2 linked regions of the Pelodiscus sinensis genome follow. The protein of the gene in region 1 binds, or shares a complex with, the protein of each later gene. Links are inferred from orthologs where the notes say so. Each region holds a gene or a part of one and is shown in the gene's direction. Other genes may lie near its edges. The genes, in order: AGT and DPP3.

The links.
Region 2: the proteins of AGT (region 1) and DPP3 are in contact, whole or in part, in a crystal structure (PDB 5E2Q), measured with the Homo sapiens proteins. The link is inferred for Pelodiscus sinensis from reciprocal best matches to the Homo sapiens genes AGT and DPP3. Residues at the interface, in NP_001369746.2 of Homo sapiens: Asp25, Arg26, Val27, Tyr28, Ile29, His30, Pro31, Phe32; in NP_005691.2 of Homo sapiens: Phe109, Glu316, Tyr318, Glu329, Phe381, Gly385, Ile386, Pro387, Ala388, Gly389, Ile390, Asn391, Ile392, Asn394, Arg399, Val412, Leu413, Val415, Ala416, Phe443, Val447, His450, His455, Glu507, Glu508, Asn545, Arg548, Leu552, Glu555, Phe556.

What each region holds. Positions count from the first base shown.
Region 1 is NC_134713.1:122,674,872-122,686,596, forward strand, and holds the start of AGT (angiotensinogen), read left to right. Parts: upstream 1-6,048; 5' UTR 6,049-6,200; exon of another isoform or gene 6,201-6,208; intron 6,209-6,880; exon of another isoform or gene 6,881-7,048; intron 7,049-8,040; 5' UTR 8,041-8,064; coding exon 8,065-8,857; intron 8,858-11,725. UniProt on the Homo sapiens protein: Essential component of the renin-angiotensin system (RAS), a potent regulator of blood pressure, body fluid and electrolyte homeostasis.
Region 2 is NC_134721.1:32,444,097-32,456,540, forward strand, and holds the start of DPP3 (dipeptidyl peptidase 3), read left to right. Parts: upstream 1-7,241; 5' UTR 7,242-7,278; coding exon 7,279-7,343; intron 7,344-7,348; exon of another isoform or gene 7,349-7,370; intron 7,371-8,070; coding exon 8,071-8,353; intron 8,354-8,562; coding exon 8,563-8,652; intron 8,653-9,005; coding exon 9,006-9,143; intron 9,144-10,030; coding exon 10,031-10,105; intron 10,106-10,343; coding exon 10,344-10,437; intron 10,438-10,687; coding exon 10,688-10,818; intron 10,819-11,167; coding exon 11,168-11,298; intron 11,299-11,528; coding exon 11,529-11,587; intron 11,588-11,949; coding exon 11,950-12,144; intron 12,145-12,444. UniProt on the Homo sapiens protein: Cleaves and degrades bioactive peptides, including angiotensin, Leu-enkephalin and Met-enkephalin. Also cleaves Arg-Arg-beta-naphthylamide (in vitro).

The sequences.
Region 1 (11,725 bases):
TAGAGAGATGTCAAGACAGCTGATTTAACAGACGGGGTAGTGATGTGACTGTTTTCTTGTCCTTCTTTTCCTGGCCTCTGATTTGGTGGTGTGATTTCCTCCATAAGCCATTTTCATTTTCACTAGCTGTCCACACATCTATAGAAGCGATATCATCACAGAACCTAACCACATAAACCACCACATCAGAGGCTCATTTAACTGCACATCCACTCATGTGATCCAAGCTATCAAATGCCAGCAATGCCCCTCTGCCATGTATATTGGCCAAACTGGACAGTCTCTACAACAAAGGATTAATGGACACAAATCAGATATCTGAAAAGGCAACACACACAAACCTGTTGGAGAACATTTGAATTTGCCCGGGATCTCATTAATGGATCTCAAAGTCACTATATTGTTTCAGGCCAATTTTACAAGCCAACTCCACAGGGAGGCCTTAGAACGTAACTTCATTTACAAGTTCGATTCCTATAATAGAGGTATGAATATAGACATTGGCTAGATGGCCTGCTACATTCCACATCCTAATGACATAAAAAAACCAAACAATGGGTACTTAAGAACAATTAATACCTTCTCTATCAGCTTCATGTAACATGGACACACTGACTATTTCTTTCCCCTTTATTTCTTTTTCCTCCCATCCCCTATTTATTTAGAAACTGGACCTTTAATAACTCCAGTCATCTGAAGAAGTGGGTTGTGTCCACAAAAGCTCATGATACCATCTACATGTTTTGTTAGTCTCTAAGGTGCTGCAAGACTATTAGTTGTTTTTTATGCTTCTTCAGTGTTTATCTTGTAAATTTATAGAAAACATTTGATGTTCTTCTGCAGCAACTGGTTATCTTGGAGTTGCAGCCAGGGCCGCGCTGTGGCTGTCCAGCTGCTCTTGGTGTGGGCCACATGGCAGGCAGCTGCCGGAGCTCGAGTCAGGCTGTGGTGCAGCAGCTTTGTGGTACTGGTAGTGACTGGGCACTACCACTACACTGTCAGCAACAGTCTGGGCTGACAGAGTGGAAAAGATGTGTTAGGTGAAGGCGATTATAACTACAGCTGGAACCTAAACCTAGGAATGAAGTGGGGCTATCAGAGGCTTGCAAAGGACTTTGCCACTGTTGTTGCTTTATTTTCCTGTGTTTATTAGATAAGTAACTCACTTATGTGTCTTTGTGGATTTTAGCAGCCATAATACTCCAGTCCTGATTCTCCAGTGCCTTGTAATCATCCACATTAGTGCAAAGTGGATGGTTTCAGTCTGATTTGGTAGCATTTTGTGCTCTGGCATCCAGGCTCCACAGAGTGCTGGGCAATGGAGAATTAGGCTTTCTGTGTTTAAAACACCTAGGCTGTGTCTACACTGGCATGAATTTCCGGAAATGCTTAAAACAGAATAGTTTTTGTTATAAGTATTTCCGGAAAAAGAGCATCTACATTGGCAGGCTGCTTTTCCGGAAAAGCTCTTTTTCCGGAAAAGCGTCTGTGGCCAATGTAAACACGCTTTTCCGGAAAAGAGCCCCGATCGTCATTTTCGCGATCAGGGCTTTTTTCCGGAAAAGACTACTGGGCTGTCTACACTGGCCCTTTTCCGGAACAGTGTTCCGGAATAAGGACTTATGCCTGAGCGGGAGCAGCGTAGCTTTTCTGGAATAGCAGCTGATTTTGTACAGTAGAGCGTCGTCGCTTTTCCGGAAATTCAAGGGCCAGTGTAGACAGCTCGCAGCTTATTCCGGAAAAGCAGCTGACTTTCCGGAATAAGTGGCCCAGTGTAGACACAGCCCTACAGCATTTGTATTTAGCTTAACAGTGCCAAACAGTGTGAATTCATAACTAAGGCCTCTAACGTAACAAGTGCATCTCCAATATTAATGAATAAACTTGATCACTTTCTTTCATTCTACCTGAATGTTAATATGTGGGAGGCTGAATGAAATTTGGAAATTTTGTGATGACTATTTGAATACTTCCTTGCAACAAATATATTGTTTTGAAAAGGGTTTAATTTCATATTATAGGCTGGGCTTATTTTTAAGGGCAGACCTGTGTCCTGCTCTGAATTCTGGACAGGTGTTCTGGTATTTGTAGTTTCTAGAATGGTGGGAGAGGGGGCAGAACCTTTTTTGGATCAGGGGCCACTGACCCACAATAAAACCAATTGGGGACCAAATACAATTGAGAAACAAAAAACCAAAACAAAACCCTCACTGACATGGCCCCTGACTGAGAATGTGAAAGACACTCCCCACATTCCCCTCACACACCAGGGCCTAGGGGGGCCTGGGCTAGTAGATTTTGTGTGCTCTAGCCCCATGCTGGGGCAGCAAGGGGACTTGAGTGCCAGTGCAGGCTCCCCAGTGCTGGGGGGCATCCCTGAGCCTCAAGGGCCCAGATCTAGGCAAGCCAAGGGCCACATCTGGCCCCCCAGACCTGAGGTTCCCCATCCTGCTCTAGAGGGATGAAATGACTATGAGCAGCTGGGAGCAAGGCCAGCTGGGAAAAGGGAAGTTGTATAAAAGGCACATCCTAGTTCTTAGTCAAAGAAGAGGGAGGCTTAGATTGTGTTTTGACCTTGGTTGCCTGAGAAATGGATGACTCTGGATTTGGAGGCAAGTCACTTAATCTCCGTTTGACTGAGTTCTTAACTTTTTGCATGTGGGTTGCCTCCCTTTCTCCCACCATTTGCCTGTCTTATCAATTTAGATGGTAAGCCTTTGAGGGCGGGTTCTGTCTCTTGGTATGCCACGAGCACAATGGGACCATTATGGCCTGGGCCTGTAGGAGCCACCTCAGTACAAAGTAATGCAAGTAATAGTCATGTTTTTGCTCTTCTTTTCTCTTCACTTTCTCTTCCCCCTGCTCCCTGTTTTCTCTCACACAACCTGCCACTCTCCAAGCCCTGCAAGGCTGTGTGTTGTCATTCATCATCTAACACTTCCCTAGGTTGCATTGCATTGCACTTCACCCTGCTTGTTACCATAGTGACTGCAGCAAAACAAATTGTGCAGCCCAGGGGGGAGAAGGAGAAAATCCATGGCTGACAGTGGCCTCACAAAGCCGTATGGCCAGAGATGGGACGCTGAGGTGGAGCTCTGTGTCTCATGAGCTGAAAATCCTGGCACTCTGCCATTTTTCAGATACAACACAACAATAGGTGCACTAGAATTGGATGACATGCCAGATTCAGTTTTGTCTGCTAAGGGCTAGTGCATGTAGGTGTGGTCATAGCATCCTAATTATTCTGAGTGCATGAGGGAGGAAATCAAGCTGCCCTAGACACACTAATTTGGATGCTCATCTGTCTCTCCTTGGCAGCCACCCTACAGAGACTGAGAGGCTAGAACAAGGAGAGCTGAGGGGTGGGGGAGGGAGTGTGGGGGAAGAGGGATTGTTCATATGTGTAGAGGCAGCTAGATGGGGGCTTTTCATGTGTTATTTCCCACAGACCCTGCACAAGCTGATGCCAGGTTTGCTGGAGGGGCATTGTGGGGAATCAGACATAGCCAGTGCCAGACAGGCTACTGGATGAATGGAAAACTTCAATCTCCAAGGATGTCATTCTGGCCCCTTTAAGCCACAATAGTCTCTTGAAATAGTGCTTTGTTAGCTCTTGTGGGAAGCAGTGAATTTCTGTGTCTCTGAAGACAGCCATGATAGGCGCATCACAAGACTTGTGAGGTACTGGCCCTCTTTGGGGCAATTATCCGAGACAAACTCCTGGAAGTCCTTACTCAGCCTTTCCTTGGCTTAAATACACATGTTGTCTGAGTAGGAATCAAATAATATCCAATAAAAAATTGGGCCCAATAATACTCAAAACAAAGCAACAGTAAAAATCTTCTTCAACTTTAAACTTTGGAACTCTTAGACCTTCTTGCTTGTTGTCTCCAGTTTGTCACAGATTTTCACACTCTTCTTCCTCATGGGAACTTGTGGCAAATGCTGAGGTAGAATAATGCCCGTTTCATCATTTGTACTTTGAATGCTATAATTTGATGGGTTTTTTTAATGCAAAAATTGGTCCAGCCCTCTACAATAGCCCACTGCCTTCAGAGACTAGTGCTTTCAGAGTTCAAGGGTAGAAGTCAGATCTGTAAATAAATACAGGGGGGGAAAAACCACTTACCAAGCTATTTCTTATCTATGTTTTGTTATAATAATTAACAAAATCACTTTGTATAGCCTTTTGCCATCACAGCTAGCAAAAATAAATAAAATCAGGCTCAAATCAGGAACAGCATTGCAATAGTTCTCACAGGGTAAGAGGAAAGTGTTTTTTTATTTCTCTTCATAACTCTATTAGTTTTAAACTAAAACTTGATCTGTGCCCTCCTCAGTCTGTTTACTTTGAAACTGGCTGCTAATGTGCAGCAAATTGAGAGGGGAGAACACAGATTTTGGAGGGCATGAAGAAATTAAATGCAAGCCCTAATACAACATCTATGTCAGGGTTCTCAAAATTATTCACAGTGCAGACTTCTTGAGGGGGGTGGGGGGAATTTCAGAAGCATCTAAGCGATATAAGAACCTACAACTCATTTTTAAAAAGTTATTTAGACATGCTGGTGTGTCTTAATGAGATTTTGGCACCTAAGTGCCTGAATCACTTTTGAAAACAGAATGTGGACTCCTCAGTCACTTAGGTACTTTTCAGCATGTTACCCATTAGGTGCATATGCGCAGCAGGGCTTAACTCAAAATCAGCTATGCAAATTGAGCTACGTCTTTCACTGTAACTACATCAACTTTTCCTCCTCTATCTTTGCATATGCTTTCCTTTCCCTTGTCCCTACTGCTTTCCCCCTGATTCTCCTTGCTCATGAATGGTTACAAGCACTGAAGGGAAACAAAAAAGTCACTAATATGAAAGCAAATTCACAGCTTTTCTGCAAATGAATGTTTATAAATACTTCAATGCAGTATTTGCTCAGCTCTATTCAAGGTGTATCCTATTTTAACAACATCAGACGAACAACCACCTTTCCATCTGGAGTTTATATTCTTGGATGTCTTTAAATGAAAGATGGTGAAGAGATTCTATTATTCTGAAAGCCAAAAGGTATATCTTTAGGCCTGTATTAATTTCCATTACCTGTACAGTAGACCCTTTTACAATGAAGCCACTTATTCCCAGAACAAAGCAGAGCTTCACTACCCTCAGACTTGTTATTTGCATATTGCTATGCACTGAAAAAAACCCTGAACATGGCCATTTTGCTTCATTATAAAGAGAATTTCACTACATCTGGGTTGGTTATACATGGATCCCTAGTCTCATAAGGTGGGTAAGGCATGTTAACTTATTCTGTGGAGAGGGACAAACTCCAGTTTTAAGTATGAGCCATGGGCCATGCCAACAAAGGTAGAGAATCAGTACTACCTTCTAGCCACAGCAGCCGCCTTCAGAGCAATTCTCAGCATATCACTAAAGACAAGAGAGTCACAGCAACCATGCATGTGCCCCCTTTATTTTGTTAATGCAGAAAGGTCTCAGGCAAAAGGAGGAAGCATGGGAAGCCAGATTGAACAAAACTGAATACATTATTTACATTTATTTCTGTGCAAAAGCAAAGTGGTGAATTTCCCCCTGCCTTTCCCAGATCTTTCCCCATCACCCAGTCACTTATTAAGAGTGTAGACTGTCCATCTTAGCAAAGGAGTAGCCTACATCCTTGGGCTGATCTGCAGAAACAAGTACCTGGATCAAATGTCTTTGCATTCTCTGTACATAATATTTACACTTTAGCTAGCTGTAAGGTTAAGGTCTCTCTGCTAGGATTAACAGTTATGGAGAGTATTTGACAACGTTTACACACTAAGAACGGCTCATCTGACAGCAATGATTCCACGTTGGCCCTGCAGGGCAGTAAGAATACCTGTCACAGACGGATTTAATTTCAATATTGCCAAAGAGACCAGCCATTAGGCGGCAGTGGAAATAATGACTGTGATACTGATGAAATCAGCTCTTCAGCCATTATTTGCTTTTCCTCACAGAAGGTGACAATGACGATGAATAACAAATGGAAAAACCCAGCACCGTATCCCAGAACATTTTGAACAGAAATCTGATAAGAGGGGAAAGCTAATATGTAACCCAGATTAGGCAATTGTGGGAATCATATAGGAAGCAAATCGTGCTCCTGAAATCAGACACAAGGCGTGGGAAACAAGACAGGGAACTTCTTCACTGATTTGTGAGCAGGTTTGAGAGCTTTGTGTGCTTTCTGTGTACGCTTAAAGTGGCTGTAGTCCAATGGGATTAATTTAGAAAAATGCCTATACCTTTGTCTTTGCGTGTACAACCAGTGTCTATAGGATGCTGTTTGCTTTTACCTCCTGGAGTTCTTAATTGCTGCTTAGGTTGTACACAGAGATGTGCCGGATGCACAATTCTACCACCTCTATCTCTAGCGTCTATACTGCTAGAGATCCTTGCAATGAAAGACGGGGAAAAGATACTTTTCTTCTGAAAGCCAACATTCTCTCTTTAGGCCTATATTAATTTCCAAAGCCATGGCAACCCTACTCTAGTGCAAAGGGCCCACTCCCAATTATTAGAAGAATGTCTCTGCAGTGCAGCTTTAAACTGGTTTTAAAGTCACATATTAATGGAATTACACCAGGAATAAATTTGGTCCTAAACGGAGCAATGTATCTCTAGTCAGCAGGAAAGGGAAAGAGGTGAAAGGTTACAAGACCTGGCTCATATGGGCTCATATGCATAACAGACTGTCACAGTCCAGGCCAGTGAATGTGTAACAGAAGGTTATACTGTGCTCGGTTAAAGGTTGTGTATTGATCTTTAAACCCGCCAATAGGTCTAGTGTTCAGCTATCCTCGTGTTTCATCTGGTCCCAACTAGTCTCCGCTCACCCCTCCACTTGGTGATGCAATGTCATTCTGTGGAACAGCACTGGGGACAGTAGGAAAGGGTCTTCCCTTTGGAAAAAGCATAAATATGCCAGCCGTCATGGTACAGTACTTCAGATACTGCAGGGGCTGAGCGGAGCTGGAGCTGAGGAAGCTATCATAAGAGGGCAAGGTGAGCCTAAGCACAAAGGCTGGTAAAGCTGTTGGCTGAAGGGGTAGTTTTGCTTTGAATGCATCTATGCAGTGCTGGTGCAAGGCTCTGGACTGGCCACCTCGGAGAGTGAAATCTTTTCTTTCAGATGCAGACACAGCCTCAGTGCTCATTTGGGGGAAGTAATACTGGGACTTGGGCTGCACTGGGAAACTGTGAGGGTGGTAACAACGGTGGCCAGCAACATGTCTATGACAATCTAGGACAATATCTGTATTCTCTTCTATGAATATTAGGAGTGACAGTCTCTCTGTCCCGTTTGGCACAGAGCCCTGCCAGAACTCATAGAGTTCTTTCAAAGGAGGCTGTAGAGAGGGGTCACTAAGGAACCCAGGAAAGACTGAACAATCCCACAGACAAGACAGTCTCCCAGGGTAGGTCTACCCTGCAACTGAACACTCATGGCTGGCCTGGGTCAGCTGGCTCCGGTTTGGATTGTGGAGCTGTAAAACTGGGTTGTGGGGCTGTAAGAAAGAAACAGTGGGTACTTAGCACTCACCAGCAGCCCCATGGATCCGTGCCTCCTACCTGCAGAAAGGCCCCAATGATACGTTCCTCCCAGCATCTCCTGCCCACCCTGATCAACTGTTCGGTGATGCGCGGGAGACACTGGGGGAGAAGGGAAAGGGTGGAAGAGGTATGGCAGGAGGAGGTAGGGTAGGGCAGGGATGGAGTGGATGGGACCTACGGTGGAGTGCGGGTACCGCCTGACAACTAAGGAAGTTGGCGCCTATGCCCAGCATGTGCTTCCATTGAGTTCAATAGACCTTTTACTATTGATTTCAGTAAGGGCAGAGTCAGACCAATACTAAACCCTTTTAGAAAACCCCCACTCGTCTGGATTCCTGTGCTGTGAGGAAAAGCCATATTAACACCACACACTCCCGAAGAAAGGAGCAAAGTAGACAGCAAGTTAATTAGCTAACCCCCCCACTTTTCCTTTTTTAAAACAGACTTCACTGACATTGTCCTTCACCATGAATCCCAGAAGGAGCCTTCTGTGTTTCTTCCTGTGCCTGAGCCCCGTAATGTGCGACCGGGTATACGTCCACCCCTTCCATTTGTTTTCCTATAACAAAAGCAGCTGTGAGAACCTGGTCAACTTGATGCAAGAAGAGAAAATGTTTGTTCCCGTTTCTATTGAGTCCCAAACCATCCCTGCCTATGAAGAGACCCTGAAAGACAAAACCAAGCTGGAAAGGCAAAGCTCAGATATCAAGGGTGACCAGAGGCTGAGCTACTTGAAAGACCTAGTGTATGTTCTTGGTATGCGCTTCTATGATGTGCTGAAGGAAACTCTGAAGGGTGAAAACATTCTCCTGTCACCTACCACTCTCTACAGGTCTTTGTTATCGTTCTACTTAGGGGCCTCCGAACAGACAGCTGATGATTTACAGAAGTTCTTGGGATTCATTCCTCCCTCCGGTGACCCGGACTGCACCTCCAAAGTGGATGGACACAAAGTCCTTTTGACCCTGAAGACCATTGAGAACCTGCCCCTCTCAAGTGGAGCTGGTGACCTACTTTTTTCCAAGCTTTCCTGCCTCTTCTCTGCTCCCAGTGTCCGTTTATCTGAATCACTTGTGAACAGCCTGGCCCCTTCTTCTGATTATTTCTATGCCCGGGCAGTTGACTTTACAAACCCGAGTCAGGCAGCAGAACTAATAGAAAACTTTGTAAAAGACAAAGATACCAGCAAAAGCAAGAATGTACTGACAAACATAGACCCTTCTACCAGCCTGCTGTTTCTGACTTACATTCAGTTAAAAGGTAAGAACGATGAGCATTAATTTGAATGATAATCTCAGGGGATAATCTCAGGGCTAATGACCTCCAGACTCATCTGTTTTTGCAACTCGGCACGTATATCCCCTCGCAACTCTGATGTCTTGGGCTTTGCTTTCTCAGGATCAAGGCTGATCACAGCAGTTAGATGGAAAACCTCAGTTGAAAACCTAGAGTACTGCAAGGTGGGACTTTCTACTACATATAGCACAGCTATTATGATTTATAATTTGCATTGTTAGTAGCTCAAGAGCCTCATTATTCCCAGTGCTGTACAAAGACATTCACTACCCAAAGAGCATATGGTCTAAATAGATAAGACAAAGGGTGGGAGAAAGGAAGTATTACAACCCCCCTATTACCGATTAAGTGACTTGCCCATAGTCACACAGAAAGTCTGTCTCTGAGTCATAAACTGAGTCCACATTTCATGAGTCCCATACCTGTGCCTTAGGCACAAGGTCAACCTTCTCCCCTGCTGCATATGCCATCAGTACTTCATTTACAGACAGACGGTGGAAGGCAACATCTGTAAACCAGCCACAGCATCATTGCTGTGCATAAGGGAAACTGAGAAAAGACTGGAAGGCAATTTCTTCTGACCAGTTGTATAAAGATCCATAGGTTTGTGTCCACTATTTCCCATAAGCTGTGTGCCTATGGGAAATATTCAAATGCTGCCCAGCTGACTGGCAGACAGTCCATAGCTAGGTTTTGTGTTTCAATTGGTGGTGCACAATTGTACATGCCTTGGTACACATAAAATTCTATTCCACACGGGGATGGAAAAAATCTGCAAATGGATAGAAACGATTAGAGAAAACATTGTTTGGGCCCCAGCCAATGAAACAAGCCAGCCATGCTGTGACAGGGCGCTCGCCCTGCACTGGCCCTTTAAGGGCAGACCCCGGCCGGAACCAGGGCCGGGGAGATTAGCCCAGCTGAGGCTGTACTAGTCCATTAGGGCCCAGCTGGGCGCTATAATAGAGGATGGGCTGCTGCTGTGAAAAGGGGAAGCAGTGAGAACCTGGCTGCTGAGGGAGGAGGAGGCTCCCTGGAGCTAGGGCAGGGCTGGGGAGGCCAGGCAGGGCTAGGGGAGCTCTGGCCAGCAAATCCTCAGACTGCAGGGCTTGAAAGAAGGCCCGATGGAGTAACATCAACCCCCGGAAGGGGGGCTCAGAGACAGACTTGGGCACTGCTGGAGGGCAGTGTGGCGAAGAGGACGCCGGAGCCGGGAGTAAAGAGGGGAGACACCACCCCAGAGAAGGCACCCTACCTGCCAAGGGAGCCAATTCCGGAGGACAGATGGCAGGGGGTTACGGTGGTGAGTGCGCCCCCCCTCACACATGCCCACTGCCAGCTTGTTCTGCATCTGTGTTGGCCCTACGCAAGGGAATATCAGAAACCTCCCTGAGCTCTACTGAAGTCAGGATTCCATTCCTGCCCATTTCACATGGTGCAGGTGGGAAGTGCTCCTGGTCCAGTCCCCTCCCCAGAAAAGAAAGCAGCATTCAGCAAAGAGAAGCAGCGTTTCACAAGACTAGGAGAACAGTCCCATCCGGGCAGTTCCATTCTGGTTACCTAGAACTCACCTTGTTGCCCTGGGTACAGCTGCACCACTGTAGCGCTTCAGGGTAGCCTCTCCCTATGCCAATGGTAAGGCTTCTCATGTCAGCATAGGTGATTCACCTCTGTGAGAGGCATCTGCGAGGTTGACAGTGGAATTAGACCTACCGCTCTTTATACCAGGGCTTAGGTAAGTTTGTGTTGCTCGGGGGGGAGAGGGGAGGGGAGATTTTTCACATCCATGGGCAACTAGCTGAGTCAACCTAACTTTTTAGGAAAAACTGGGTCTCAGTAAACTAACTTGAGATCCTCCGATGAAAGACACTGGCTCTTTGAGGCAGCAAGTTTATCACGAGACTGGTCTATAAAGATACGTCTACTCAGCAGTGTTATTTCGGAATACCTGACATTATTCCAAAATAACATACTCCGTGTCTACACTACAAGAAGTTATTTTGACATAATGTCAAAATAATGTCGAGCTGGAGGACTTCTTACTCCAACTCCTGTAACCCTCATTTCATGAGGAGTAAGGGCAGCTGGAGGAAGAGTGCTCTCTCTAGAACTTCCTGCTGTGTAGACAGAGCCAAAGGCCGAAATAAACTATTTTGACTTAAGCTACACAATTGATGTAGCTGAAGTTGCGTAGCTTATTTTGGCTTTAGCCCTGCTGTGTAGTCATGCCCTGAGGTACTCAGACAGAATTGATATTGTAAAAAGAACAGGCATGATAAGGCGAGTCTTACCTTTTAATCTTGCAGTGTGCCGGGCACAGCCAGAGGAAGCAGAGTTTAACTTTAACAAAGCTATTGCTTTAGAACGCTTTCCCCTGTGTTTGAAACTCACAGGTTGATTGATTTGAGATGTCTGTTTGTCCTGTTGCTCTGCTTCACTGGTCCAGCTCTGTTTCCTCTGCTCTCTTAGGAAGATGCACATACATGCCAGGGGCTAGAGAAAAGCAATTCAGACACAGATGAAGTAGAAAATAACCATTGCTGCAGCCCATATTTATTGTGCAGCAGATCGTGCTTGGCTCGTTTCAGAAGGAGCAGCCATATTAACCCATACTGACAAGCTCCGCATTTTCTCTCAGTAAACTCAAAAGAGGAAAATATATTAAGTTATTACATGTGGTCATAAGATATTACCCATAGTCATAGGACAGTCCAGGTGGCAGCAATCCAATTAGAAACCTGGGTTTCACTATTCTAGACCTTCAAGTTGTAACCCACTTATATAAAGATTGAGACCCTGTCATTGTGCTACAATCACCATAGTCACAAAGCA
Region 2 (12,444 bases), on another chromosome or scaffold:
ATACTATTCTGCTCCCATTCAGGCAAAAGTCCCTTTTGCGCAAAGCTTTTGCGCAAAAGGGCCAGTGTAGACAGCTCAGATTTGTTTTCCGCAAAAAAGCTCCGATCGTGAAAATGGTGATTGGGGCTTTTTTGCGGAAAAGCGTGTCTAGATTGGCACGGACGCTTTTCCACAAAGTGCTTTTGTGGAAAAGCATCCGTGCCAATCTAGACGTTCTGTTCCGAAAATGCTTTTAACGGAAAACTTTTCCGTTAAAAGCATTTCCGGAAAATCATGCCAATCTAGACGCAGCCCTAGTGTGGTTACTGAGCTATGCAAGTGGTACCTAGACCACAGCAATAGTTAAGATCAAGAGACCTCTACAGCATGGGCTGGGCACCCCCACTAGCTTTTGGCTCAGAAGGTAGAGGCTCTTATACTCCGCTTCAGAGGTCCCAGGTTCAAATATGCCTGGTGGCGGTTACAAATGGGGGCTTGTCCAGGATCTCAACTGGGTCCCTGAAGCTCAGGATACGCTCCCTCACCTAGGGGAAGTATATAACCCACACACCTAGGCTATGTCTACACTCGTGGCTTCTTGTGCAAGAACATCTTGCACAAGAAAACGTCCACACTGCCATGTGTGTGCTGTGCTTTTGCGCAAGAGCTCCCATGGCAGTGTGGACGCTCTCTTGCGCAAGAAAGCACCAACGGCCATTTTTGCCATAGGGCTTTCTTGCGCAAGAAATCCCTGCCAAGCGTCCACACTGCCCTCTTGCGAAAGAGCTCCTGCGCAAGAGGGCTTAAACCTGTTAAAAAAAAGTGTAGCTCTTGTGCAAGGAGCCCTCTCTTACCACGCCGTACTGTAAATTTCCTTGCACAAGAGCAGGCAGGCAGTGTAGACGCTCTGCGGATTCTTGCGCAAGAATGGCCATACTTGTGCAAGAAGCCGCGAGTGTAGACATAGCCCTAGTGTGGCTACTGAACAATGCAAGTGGTACCTAGACCACAGCAACAGTTAAGATTAAGAGACCTCTACAGGATGGGCTAGAAGCCAGCTGGCTTTTAGTTCAGTGGGTAGAGGCTCCTATACTCTGCTACAGAGGTCCCAGGTTCAAATTTGCCTGGTGGTGGTTATATGTGGACACTCCACAGGGGGTTCTTTCACAAAGAGCCTATCAAAAAAAGCATAGTGCTCTGATGGCCATTCTGTTAATGGCAAGCAGAGCTTTCTTGCACAAGAGTATCCATGCAGTGTGGATGCTCTCTTGCGCAAAAGCACATTGCTTTTGCGATGCACTTTTGAGGTGTAGACATGCTTTTGCACAAGAAGTTTTTGTGGAAGATCTCCTCTGCGAAAAGCTTCTTGTGCAAAAACCCTGCAGTATAGACAAAGCCATTGAGAATCAACGTATCCAGACATGACAAGAAAAGTGTAGGATGTGAAGAATGTACAACACCCACAGATGGCAGATTTTTATGTGACATCCATAAACAGATTTGCCTATCGAGGACTGGTTTAGTTGTTCACCAATGGCGTGAAAGAAAATGAGATCCATCAATTGACAGCTCAGTCCATAAAGATGGGGCACTAAGGCACAGAAGCTACGTCTACACTGCAAGGTTTTTGTGCAAAAACCAGAGGAGCATCCACACCTCAAATGCACTTTTGTGCAATTAAATCAGCAGTAAAATGACAGAACAGAGGGCTTTTGCTGGTGTAGGTAAACCTCCTCCTGTGAATGGCCATCAGAGCTTTCTTGTGCAAGAGCGTTCATGCAGTGTGGACGCTCTCTTGCGCAAAAGCACATCACTTTTGCGATGCGCTTTGAGGTGTGGACATGCTCTTGTGCAAGACGTTTTTACGCAAAAACTCTTGCGCAAAAGGCTTCTTGCGCAAGAAGCCTGCAGTCTAGACGTAGCCAGAGAGAATAAGGGCCAGATTTTCAGACATATAGGCACCTAAAGCTTTCAAAAGTGCCTAGAAGGCTACATGCTTTGTATCCCCCAAGAGATACCCAGCTGTGGATAAATCCCTGTAATATTATATTTTGTATTAAGATCTTGTCCTTTTAGATATATCTTTGTTAAGTGTTCTTATAGAATCTCTGTAACATTTCTCCTATAACTTTGTATTAAGATATAGAGATCTTGTAAGAAAAAATGTATTTTGAGCTCTCCTCTTTCCTTGATTGTCCTGTTGAAATGAATGAGGTGTGATGGAGAATGAAAGGTGAGCACCTCCAGCAGCAGTTGCAAGGGTGGAGAAGGTCTGGGAGCCAGATCTAAGACAATACCTGCAGAGTGAGCTCATTAAGAAGACTGGATCTACAGACGCCTTAGGAGTCAAGCAGCAAGTGCCTGCCTTTGGAAGAACTCTTTTTGAAGCAGCATTAAGAAAGGCCAGGTGATGACTAATTGGCTGCATGAGAGGGATAAATAGGAGGCATCTTGCAGAGGGACCCCGGGTTTTCATCTTGTCAACACAGGAGCATGAATCCGGATCCGCAGAAGCCCGGCTCCACCCCTCCCACATCTAACTCACCTGGCCAGTGCAGTTAGGGGGAGCAACTTTTGGTAACAAGAAGACAGAGGCTGTGTCCAGACTCCATGCCTCCGTCGACGGAGGCATGTAGATTAGCCAGATCGGAAGAGGGAAATGAAGCCGCGATTAAAATAATCGCGGCTTCATTTAAATTTAAATGGCTGCCCCGATCTGCCGATCAGCTGTTTGTCGGCAGATCGGGAGAGTCTGGACGCGATGCCCCGACAAAGAAGCCTTTCTTCATCGACACAGGTAAACCTGGTTTCACGAGGCTTACCTGTGTCGATGAAGAAAGGCTTCTTTGTCGGGGCATCGCGTCCAGACTCTCCCGATCTGCCGACAAACAGCTGATCGGCAGATCGGGGCAGCCATTTAAATTTAAATGAAGCCGCGATTATTTTAATCGCGGCTTCATTTCCCTCTTCCGATCTGGCTAATCTACATGCCTCCGTCGACGGAGGCATGGAGTCTGGACACAGCCAGAGTGTGCTTGTGTGTGTGAGTGCATGAGTGTAATGTGTAATATGCATATGATAAGTATTGATTGATCTATGTATGTTCAATAAATGTGGCGTGTTGCCTTATCCCCCTGAAAAAGATCCTGGGTGCTTCTTTTAAGCACAACACAGCTGTACTTTTGGTTGCTTAAAACCCTTTGAAATGTCCGTAAAATACAGCCTGAGGTCATATAGGAAATCCATAGCAGTGGGCGGGGAGTAGAACTCAGATATGAGGTCACTATCCACTGCTCCAGCCTTTCTCCATGCTGAAAAAAAAGGCCTCTGATGGATGGGAACAAAACCAGGCCAGCCAGTTCTCTAAGACTCCAGCAATCCGTGCCAGGTGACTGGGAGGATGCACTGGATGACAGTGTGAAAAGCAGCAGAGAAGTCAGGCAGGATGAAGAGAGAAAGAAAATGGGAGTCTGCTGAGAGAAGAGCACTTACCCATCAGTGGGTGACAGGCTCTGCCCTGGACAAAGCTGTACGGCAACACCTGGTGGGTAATTTTAGATTGGAACTGAAACCCATTTTGGTTTCTCATTTTTGGCTCTGAGTTTGGGAAAAGGAAGGAATGAGAAAGTGTCGTATGAGTATCAGATGTGATCATACGTCCAGTCCTTTGGGTTTCAGCTGTACCCAGGCCAATTCCAGAACAAAGAACAGAAACTGCATCTACAAGAATCCATAAAGTTGACATTTATTGTCATTAAAAGTGTGATTCACTGTTGAGAATACGCCAGGAAATGTAGTCCCTTGGCCAATGCGTGTAAGATGTGTAACTCTGATAAGATGGCTCAGACAGTTAAGTATGAAGTGTAGAGTTATTGACTACACCTGTTATTACATGTTCATGGTGATGTTTATGTCTACGAGTGGTAGTGCTGATGGCAAGAGAAGTTGTACTTGATTACAGACTAGAAGATTTGACCCTCCAACTTTCTTTCAAGAGGAAGAGCTGACTAGAGCTCTTGGGCCTGTTCATTTTCCTTTCCTGCCCCAATGGCTCTGACATCTCAGAAGTCTCATTCTTCCTCCATCTTTAAAACATGGAATTTTTCTTGGTGTTTGATTTTAAAATATTCTCCTGTGAAAACTGCAATTCAATCCCTGTAGCCTTATGTTTAAGACCCTTCTGGAAAGTAACTAGCTTTTGAACGGAAGTGTTGCCAAATCCCATGATTTTGTTATGAGCCTCATCATAAGTATTGCATTCCTTAAAGCCCCAGTACCTGGAGTCAAGTGATACGGTATTATTTCAGCCTTCATTCTTAAAGACACAGGAAGTTTCTAGCTTTTCTGGCTGCAGAGAAAGCTTCCAAATGTGACCCCAGTGCACCTTAAAGGATCAAAAGTGGAATATAATTTTAAAAAACACACCAAATCTATTATTTTTACATAATCTCATTATTTTAAAGCTAATCTCATGATTTTTGTTTTGCCCAAGTCTTGATTATTGAACATTTGGGGTTGGCAATACTATGAAAGTGACTTGAAAAAGTCAGTTTCGGTAGTGTTTAAAGTAATTTTCTAGTTTATTATTTGTCATGGGGTAACACTGCTGGAGCGCCAGGTGGGTGCAGTATGAAGTCCCTGGGTCTTGCCCTAAATAGGATGTTTCCAAAAGTTAAGGAATCTATTCAAAGCTTGATGAACTGCAAAAAAGTGATAGAAAGTCATCTCGATTTTTTTCTGTAATTTTTATCATTGTTGTATTCAAGAGATAGTAACAAAGTAAGAATATACAGGCAGTCCCCGGGTTACGTACAAGATAGGGACTGTAGGTTTGTTCTTAAGTTGAATTTGTATGTAAGTCGGAACTGGTACATATTGTAGGGGAAACTCTAGCCAAACATTTCTCCAGAGCTCAGTTTTATTCTCCCACACCTCACTTCCCTCAGTCCTTTATTCTCAAGCTGAGGTGTCTGCTGAGAAAAGCTGCTCCGCGTCTCCCTGGTCTGCTGGCGGGGGCGCTAGCTTCGCGTCTCCCTGGTCTGCTGGGGGGAAGCAGCTAGTGTGGGGTTGCCTCACCCCGTTTGTAAGTAGGGATCCGATGTAAGTCGGATCCATGTAACCCGGGGACTGCCTGTACATTAAAATTTTAAGCCTAACCAATGTCACTTAAGTGTCTTGAGACAAGGTATCTGAACATGTTAGTATTAGAGTTGAGTGGGTCTAATATTTATTCAATTTTCTTTATAAGGAATTAGATATTATCTTCCAGGAAAATTCTATAAAAGTTATTACATATGAAAAAACCAAAGGTTTTTAGGTTTCCAAGTAGCTTCTGGAATCATGGTTAAAGTTGCTCCTGCTATCCAAATCTGATCAGTATGCCTGTAATATAAATAACTAGACTATTTACCCAGCATTGCTTGGGTCCATAACTCAGTTAATTTAAATCATTGCTCTGGGAATGAGGGGTTCAGTATGCAGGCCGCCCTGGGGAGAGAGAACTACTCCAGCCCTTTCTCACCACAGCAGCTTGGGGCTAGGTAAGAAGTGCCTCTCTATGGCCACTGCAACTGCAGCAGGCAGTCGGGGAGGGGTGTATGTCCCCCAGCTTGGGCAGGTCATGGTTCTTCTGTCCCCTGCGCTCTCCAGATAGAGGAATGGAACAAACTGTGTCCTAACCTTAACCCCACCCCACCCCTGCGGGGACAGCCACCACCAGCTTTGTGATGTACACACCTGGCACCCTGGGGACAAAGGAAGGATAAGGGGGATGCAGAATGTTGGGGGGCTCCTCTGGTGGCACAGTGGCGAAGGTATCCAGAGCCAAAGGTGGAGAGTTCAAGGTGCACTTTCCACTTGCTCTCTGATGGAAGGGAACAGCCAGTAATGTTCCTGTATGAATCAGGGAAGGAGGAAAGCCTAGTGATTCTGTCACTTTTCTGTATGGTTTTATGCATCCCTGTACAAATCAAGTGTGCATGTGGGAGGGCTTCCTCACACAATCAAACCCCTACCTTACTTTAAATTATGAAAAGAGGAAGCCACATACCACATTTAGTGGTCCTAGCTCTTATCATTAAGGAGGAGTTTTTGAACAGACAATTGGACATACAGATTTGCTTGTTCACAAACTCTCAAATATATGGTAGTTTAATAATCATGCTCCTGTAAAATTGCCAGTGGATACAGGCAGCCCACCATAGATAGAGCCCTGCAAATCCACAGGCCTTCACTGATGTGGATACAGATAACCACAGCTCATTTTTGCAGACAGGGATGTGGATACCAATTCTGTATCTAGAAAACTGCAAATTTGTGGATATCTGTGGGTGTCTGTATCAGCGGATGTCAGTGTGGCTATCTGCAGTTCATTTTTGCAGGTACAGGTGCATAGGGTTGCCAGATGGTTTAACCAAAAATACCCCCCCCCCAAAAAAAAAACCACTGGGGAAAAAATTCTGTTGAGAAGAAAGTGGGGAGACCAAAGTTGTTAAACAAAAAAGGACCCTGAGAGTTAAGCAAAAAAATTTTTAAAAATTAAAAAAAAACAGAAACAGCCTGACCTTTTTGAGGCTTTTTGGCCCTAACAAGCTGCTGGCAGCCGCCCGCCATCTTGTCTCCCTGTTCAAGGCCAGACAGCGCCCCTGCAGAACCCAGTAAGCACCTGGGATTTTCGCCTCTTGGCCGGGAAAAAAAAATCAGAAGATACCAGACATTTTAGGTGTCCAGTATTTTCTGTATTTTTTTTTAAACCAGACAGGAGGCAAAAATCAGACTGTCCAGGTCAATACCCGACAATCCCACAGGTGCAGACACAAATACAATATTTGTAATCCTGCAGGGTTTTGATCATAGTACCCCACCATATGGGTTTGGCTGCAAACTTTCTGGAAAATCAGAAAAGCCACACGCACTTGTAAATCAGGCTAACAACCTTCCCTCCACATTCCTTGTGCTCCAGGTACTCCAGCCTGCAACCCTCTGGAAAGTGCGGGACCCAATCCGCTTTGTCGGGGCATGGGGAGCACAGGGTTCTCCCCCCACTGGAGGGACCAGCTGAGCCAGACCCAGGGCAGCTAGCCTGGCTAGCTCGGAGATGAGCGAGGCCTTCCCCTCTACTGGTTATGTGACAACAGCACCTGAAGCGACAGCATACGGACCAGTCCTTTAAGGTACCGCGTGTGGAAGGGGAGGAGCTGGGGAGGAAAAGTCCTGACGCTCCCGCTGCTCGATTGGCTGCCGTAGCGTCTGTCTCCCCGGCTGGGCGCACGGATTGGTGGGTGGTCCGGGGCCGAGGTTATGAATGGGGAAGCCGGTGGCGGACTGGCTGCATTGCAAGCAGGAAGTCAGGACAGCGGCGGCAGGTGGGGGCGCAGGGCGCGTGCTGTAGCGTGAGCTGGGTGCCGGGGGGGGGGGGGGGGGTCTCGTGCTCCCCACTGGGGGGCGGGGCGTGCCTGGGGCTCGAGGGGGGAAATCCTCAGATCAGTGGGAGGCGTGGGGGGGTGAAGGCCCCGCGGTGCAAGGGGCACAGGCCTTCCCCGGGCTGGGGAGACGCCGGGTGTGAGCCAGAGCCGGGGCCTTGGCACAGGGAGTTGGGGATGCGCCCGCAGCTGGGGGTGTGTGCAGGCACTTGTGGGCGCAGATGTTGCTGCAAGAGAAGCGGGTGACGGTGCAATGGGGCACGGTCGGGAGGGTCTGATGCGGAGATATAGTCGCCTCTAGGGTGGGCTTGGGGCAGCTAATGCAGGCAGGATCCCTTATCCAGCTTTTCGCAGGGTGCTGCATCCTGGGCTGGGTGTGTCGTTGTACAGTGGTGCTGGGAAGGGCAATTGTGTGGTTTTGTGGGTGAGCCAGATAGGCTATTGCATGACTGTGCTTGTGCCCCTAGTTGTGCCCATGCCACTTTGGCTCAGCTGTGGGGCACAAGCTGTCAGCTGTCTGTCCTCGCTGACTTTCTGCTGTATGGGAGTGTGGTGAGGAGGATATAGCCAACCTAGGGACGGATATTGGAGTGTAGGGTGGGGAGCTGTGAATTGGGACTGAACACAGGTTGTGGATTGGGACTGAGGGACACCTGTGCTCTCTCTGCAGGTTGACCAGTGAGATGGTGGACCCCCAGTACGTGTTGCCTAACGATGTGGGGCTGGCACTTCTGGACTGCAGTGAGGCCTTCCGGCTGCTGCTGCAGGGTGAGCGGCTCTATGCCCACCACCTGTCGCGTGCCTGCTGGTATGGGGGGCTGATTGTGCTGCTCCAGACCTCGCCTGAAGCACCAGCCATCTACGTGCTGCTCTCCCGCCTCTTCCGCGCCCAGGACCCCAACAAGCTGGGGGAACTGGCATGCTCTGCTGGCCTCACTGACGAGGAGTACCAGGTACCGCCCTACCCAAAGGCCTGGGTTCTATTCCGTCCCCAGCTCTGGGTGGGGAGCAAAGTCTAATGGTTTAAAGCAGTGGGAAGGGGCTGGGAAGCTGATCTGCTGGGTTTGTTTGGCTCTGATATGGAATTCGCTTTTAGTGGGCTAGAGAAAGGGAAGGAAAGGTGGGTGCCTGGCTGGAACTGATCTTTCCTCTTCTCACCTAGGCGTTCCTGGTTTATGCTGCTGGCGTGTTTTCCAACATGGGGAACTACAAATCCTTTGGGGACACCAAGTTTGTACCCAACTTGCCCAAGGTGAGTCTGTGGTTGCGGGGGGTGGAGGTAGGGACCACATGTCTGGGGCACAGGATTGAAACATGTTTTGGAATGTCTATGGGAAAACACTGCTCCCCAACACAGATTCATCCTCCTGCCAAAAGCTCTGTGCAAGCTGCCTGCAGCAGGGTGTGTATTTATCTGCCTCACCCAGCTATTCATCACTCTCCATCCCCCTCACTGGCTGCGAGGCAGGTACCTGATTGAGTTGAATAGTCTATGGAGAGAGGCAGGGGGAGTTTGCTGTTTGCCCCGATACACATATATCATGGTTCCAGCCCACTTATTCCCCTCTCAGTCACAGCTCAGTCCCTTTCTCCTTTGCCTCCTAGGACAAGCTCCAGCAGCTGATCTGGCAGAGCCAGGCATTCCAGGAGCAGCCAGAGGAAATGGAGTCACTGTGGGGTAGATGTGGGGAGCTGATGTTCTCACTGGACCCACGGCAGAGACAGTTGGGGCTAGGAAAGAAGGTAATACCCCACTTGTGCACACATGATGATTCTGGAGGGTTGGGAGCAACCATGGTGGATTGATTTAAATCAGTGATTAAACTACTGATTTGAATAGTGATTTAAATCAGCCAGCAGGAAACCTTGATTGAAATAGCCTATTGTCATCTTGTTTTTTCTTTGTACTTTTTAGTTGCTTTCCTAAAGTAAGGTTTATTCTCATTGGTTGGTATAAACCCTTCATATGGGTTGATTTATGGTTTCTAGACTACGAGGAGCCACTGCGGTCGTCTGATTTCTTATCAGGTCACAGGTCATAGGGCTGCCCTGAATTAATTCCTGGTTGAACTAGAGAACTAACTTAAGGCGGGAGCTTTTGTGCAGAACAGAAACTGAAAGAACTGTGGTTTCAGATAATGCAGATAGCAGTGCTTGCTCCATTGGCAAACTGATGGCATACCCAGGTCTCACTCTGCTCTGTCCTCTGGACATGCAGGCCGTTGTGAGCTGCATAAAGCTTGGCTCATCCTCTGCCATTAAAGATGGTTTAGCCCCAAATGCTCATATAAGTATGCAAGCCGTGCACTTCCCCCTTTAAGATTTGAGGAGGGCTCATCCAAGTACTATATTCTTCTATTGTGTATTTCTTCCTAATGGCTTGCAGTACGTTTTGGGCTTGACAGAGCCTGTCAGGAGTTCAAACTGCATTTTAAACACATTTTCTTGGGAAAGAGAAGTCTATTTAATGATTAAAAAATTGGCTGTACATTTAAAAATTTGATTAAAAATCCTAGCAATTTCTAGTCACCCTAGAGCCAGGGGAAGATGAGGGTTAGCTGGGAGACGAGGCGCGCAGTGAAAAGATAGGGCTGAGCTGTCTCTCTGTAACATCCTGCCCTCTCCCACAGGGCATTACCACCTATTTCTCTGCGAACTGCAGTTTGGAAGATGCCCAGCTAGCCCAGAGGTTCCTCGACTCACAGGTACCTGTTGTTGCGCAAACATGGGACGTTCCCCGGGTCCCCCCGTGGCAACCCCAAGCCTGACTGCTTTTGTGGGGTGTGTTTTCTGCCTCTGCATTGCTACAACCCTTGCATACAGGGGAGTGCCCAGCACCAGACTGGCTCCCATTCTGATCCCAGAACCTCTGCATGGGATTGTAGAGTGCCCTGTGAGTGGGGAGCAGTGTCAGATGGGGGTAAATCTCTTTGTCTGTCTTAGACCATCAGTGCCTACAACACACGGCTCTTCAAGAAGAAGGATGAGGCAGGGCAGACGTGCTATGAGGTGCGGCTGGCATCCGTGCTGGGCACTGGTAAGACTCCCCATCCTCTGCCCTCTCACTGGATCTCCTTGGTCTGCGCTCCCCACAGCACCCACCTCCCTGACTCCCTCTGACTTATGCTTCCCACACTGTCTGGATCTGTCCTCAATTCCCCAACCTGTACTCCCTTATACCACCCACCTCGCCTGCTGCCTGGCTCCCACTCCCATGCTAGTCCCCAGTCCCTGCTGTCTTCCCCTCACCTCCCCATTGAATTGTGTGTCTCTGGGTCTCTCTCCAGACGCACCTGTCGATCCTGAGCTGGCCCCCAAGCTGCGCTGCTTTGAATTTGAGAGCTGCAAGTTCTGTGTGACCCGCGGGGATTACGCACCCCTGCTGGAGAAAGTGGTGGAGAACCTACAACGTACAAAGGCATGCATGTCCCTTCGGCGTATGCACTGGGGAGGGGTTGGTCCGAGGCTGTGGGAGGGTGGAGGGCGGGGATCTCTCAGTAACGTTTGTAGGTTTTAAACCCTAACCCTGGCACCAGGGGAAAACCTTAGTTTTATATCCGGAGAGAGGGGATGGTCTTGGAGCCAAAGGACTGAGCCTGGACTCTTGGGTTCTGTTCCCAGTTCTGGGAGGCGGAAGTGGGAGCCAGGACTCCTGGGTTCTCACTTCCTGAGGTTGAGGAAGTGGCAGAAATGTATGGAGGGGGTTGGGGAGAGGAATGGCTGAACTCAGAGGAATAGTCATTATTGATCAACGATCTTTCTCCCAGGCTTATGCTGCCAATACCAACCAGGAGAGCATGCTGGAACATTACATCCACAGCTTCACCCAGGGCTCCATTGCTGCTCATAAGGAGGCTTCCCGCTGCTGGATCCGTGACAAGGGGCCTATTGTCGAAAGGTCAAGGCTGGGAACCAGGATGTCCCCAGCTGTGGGAGGGACATGGTGTTTGAGCAGGGAGGCGCGGCAGCTAGGGGTTTTGAGAGAAGTCAGGTGCCAACTGGAGGGGTGGGAAAGGAGAGGGATTTGTTGATAGGGATATTTGCCTCCTGGGGTCAGCGAACCAGAGGGATTTGTCTCCTCTGCCCCAGGGCAGGCCAGGCCATCTAATGTGCTTTCTCCTCCTACAGTTACATCGGTTTTATCGAGAGCTACCGAGACCCCTATGGCTCCCGGGGGGAGTTTGAAGGTAAAACACACTGGCCTCAGACTCTGAGGGCCGCGGTTTGAAGTAGTGGGAGGGAAGGGGACGTGCTGACTGTGAGCCGGGGTGAGTGCTTCCCGGCATGTGTACTTCAACTGTGTTAGGGTGTGGCTGACTGCTGAGCGGGGTGTTTCCATCTTAGGGGTGTGTCTCTTGCAACTGTGTACTGCAGGTGTGTTTTGAGGGCTGTGGGTGTGTATTGTAATTGCTTTGGGGTGCCTGTAAGGGAGGGAGTGTAGTTTGTGCCACTGTTTGGGTTGCATTTGGTGGCGGTGGGTGGAGCGTGGCTGGCTGGCAGAGAGGCAATATTAGCTAGCCCCTTCCACAGCACCCACTGTCTCCCCCAGGATTCGTGGCTGTAGTGAACAAGGCCATGAGCGCCAAGTTTGCGCAGCTGGTGGCATCAGCTGAGCAGCTGCTGCTGGAGCTGCCCTGGCCCCGTGCTTTCGAGAAGGACACCTTCCTCATGCCGGACTTCACCTCATTGGATGTGCTGACCTTTGCAGGCAGTGGGATCCCGGCCGGCATCAACATCCCCAACTGTGAGTGCTACCCATGATCCTTTGTGCCTGTGCCACAGACCTCTGCACCTCCCTAGGGCTACCCAGAATCCTCCCTGCTTGCATCCCTATCCAGAATCTCTTGTGCCTCCCAGGCATTATCCAAAATACTCTCCTACCCAGGCACTATCCAGAATCCTCTACGTCTGCATCCCATCCATTGGCACAGGAGACCAGACCACATGTAAGGCCCACGGTCTGTCCCCTTGAGTCGTCAACCTCCTCCTGGCCCTGGAGAAAGCTACTATATACAATACCAAGAGGAGGATGCTAGACGAGGGG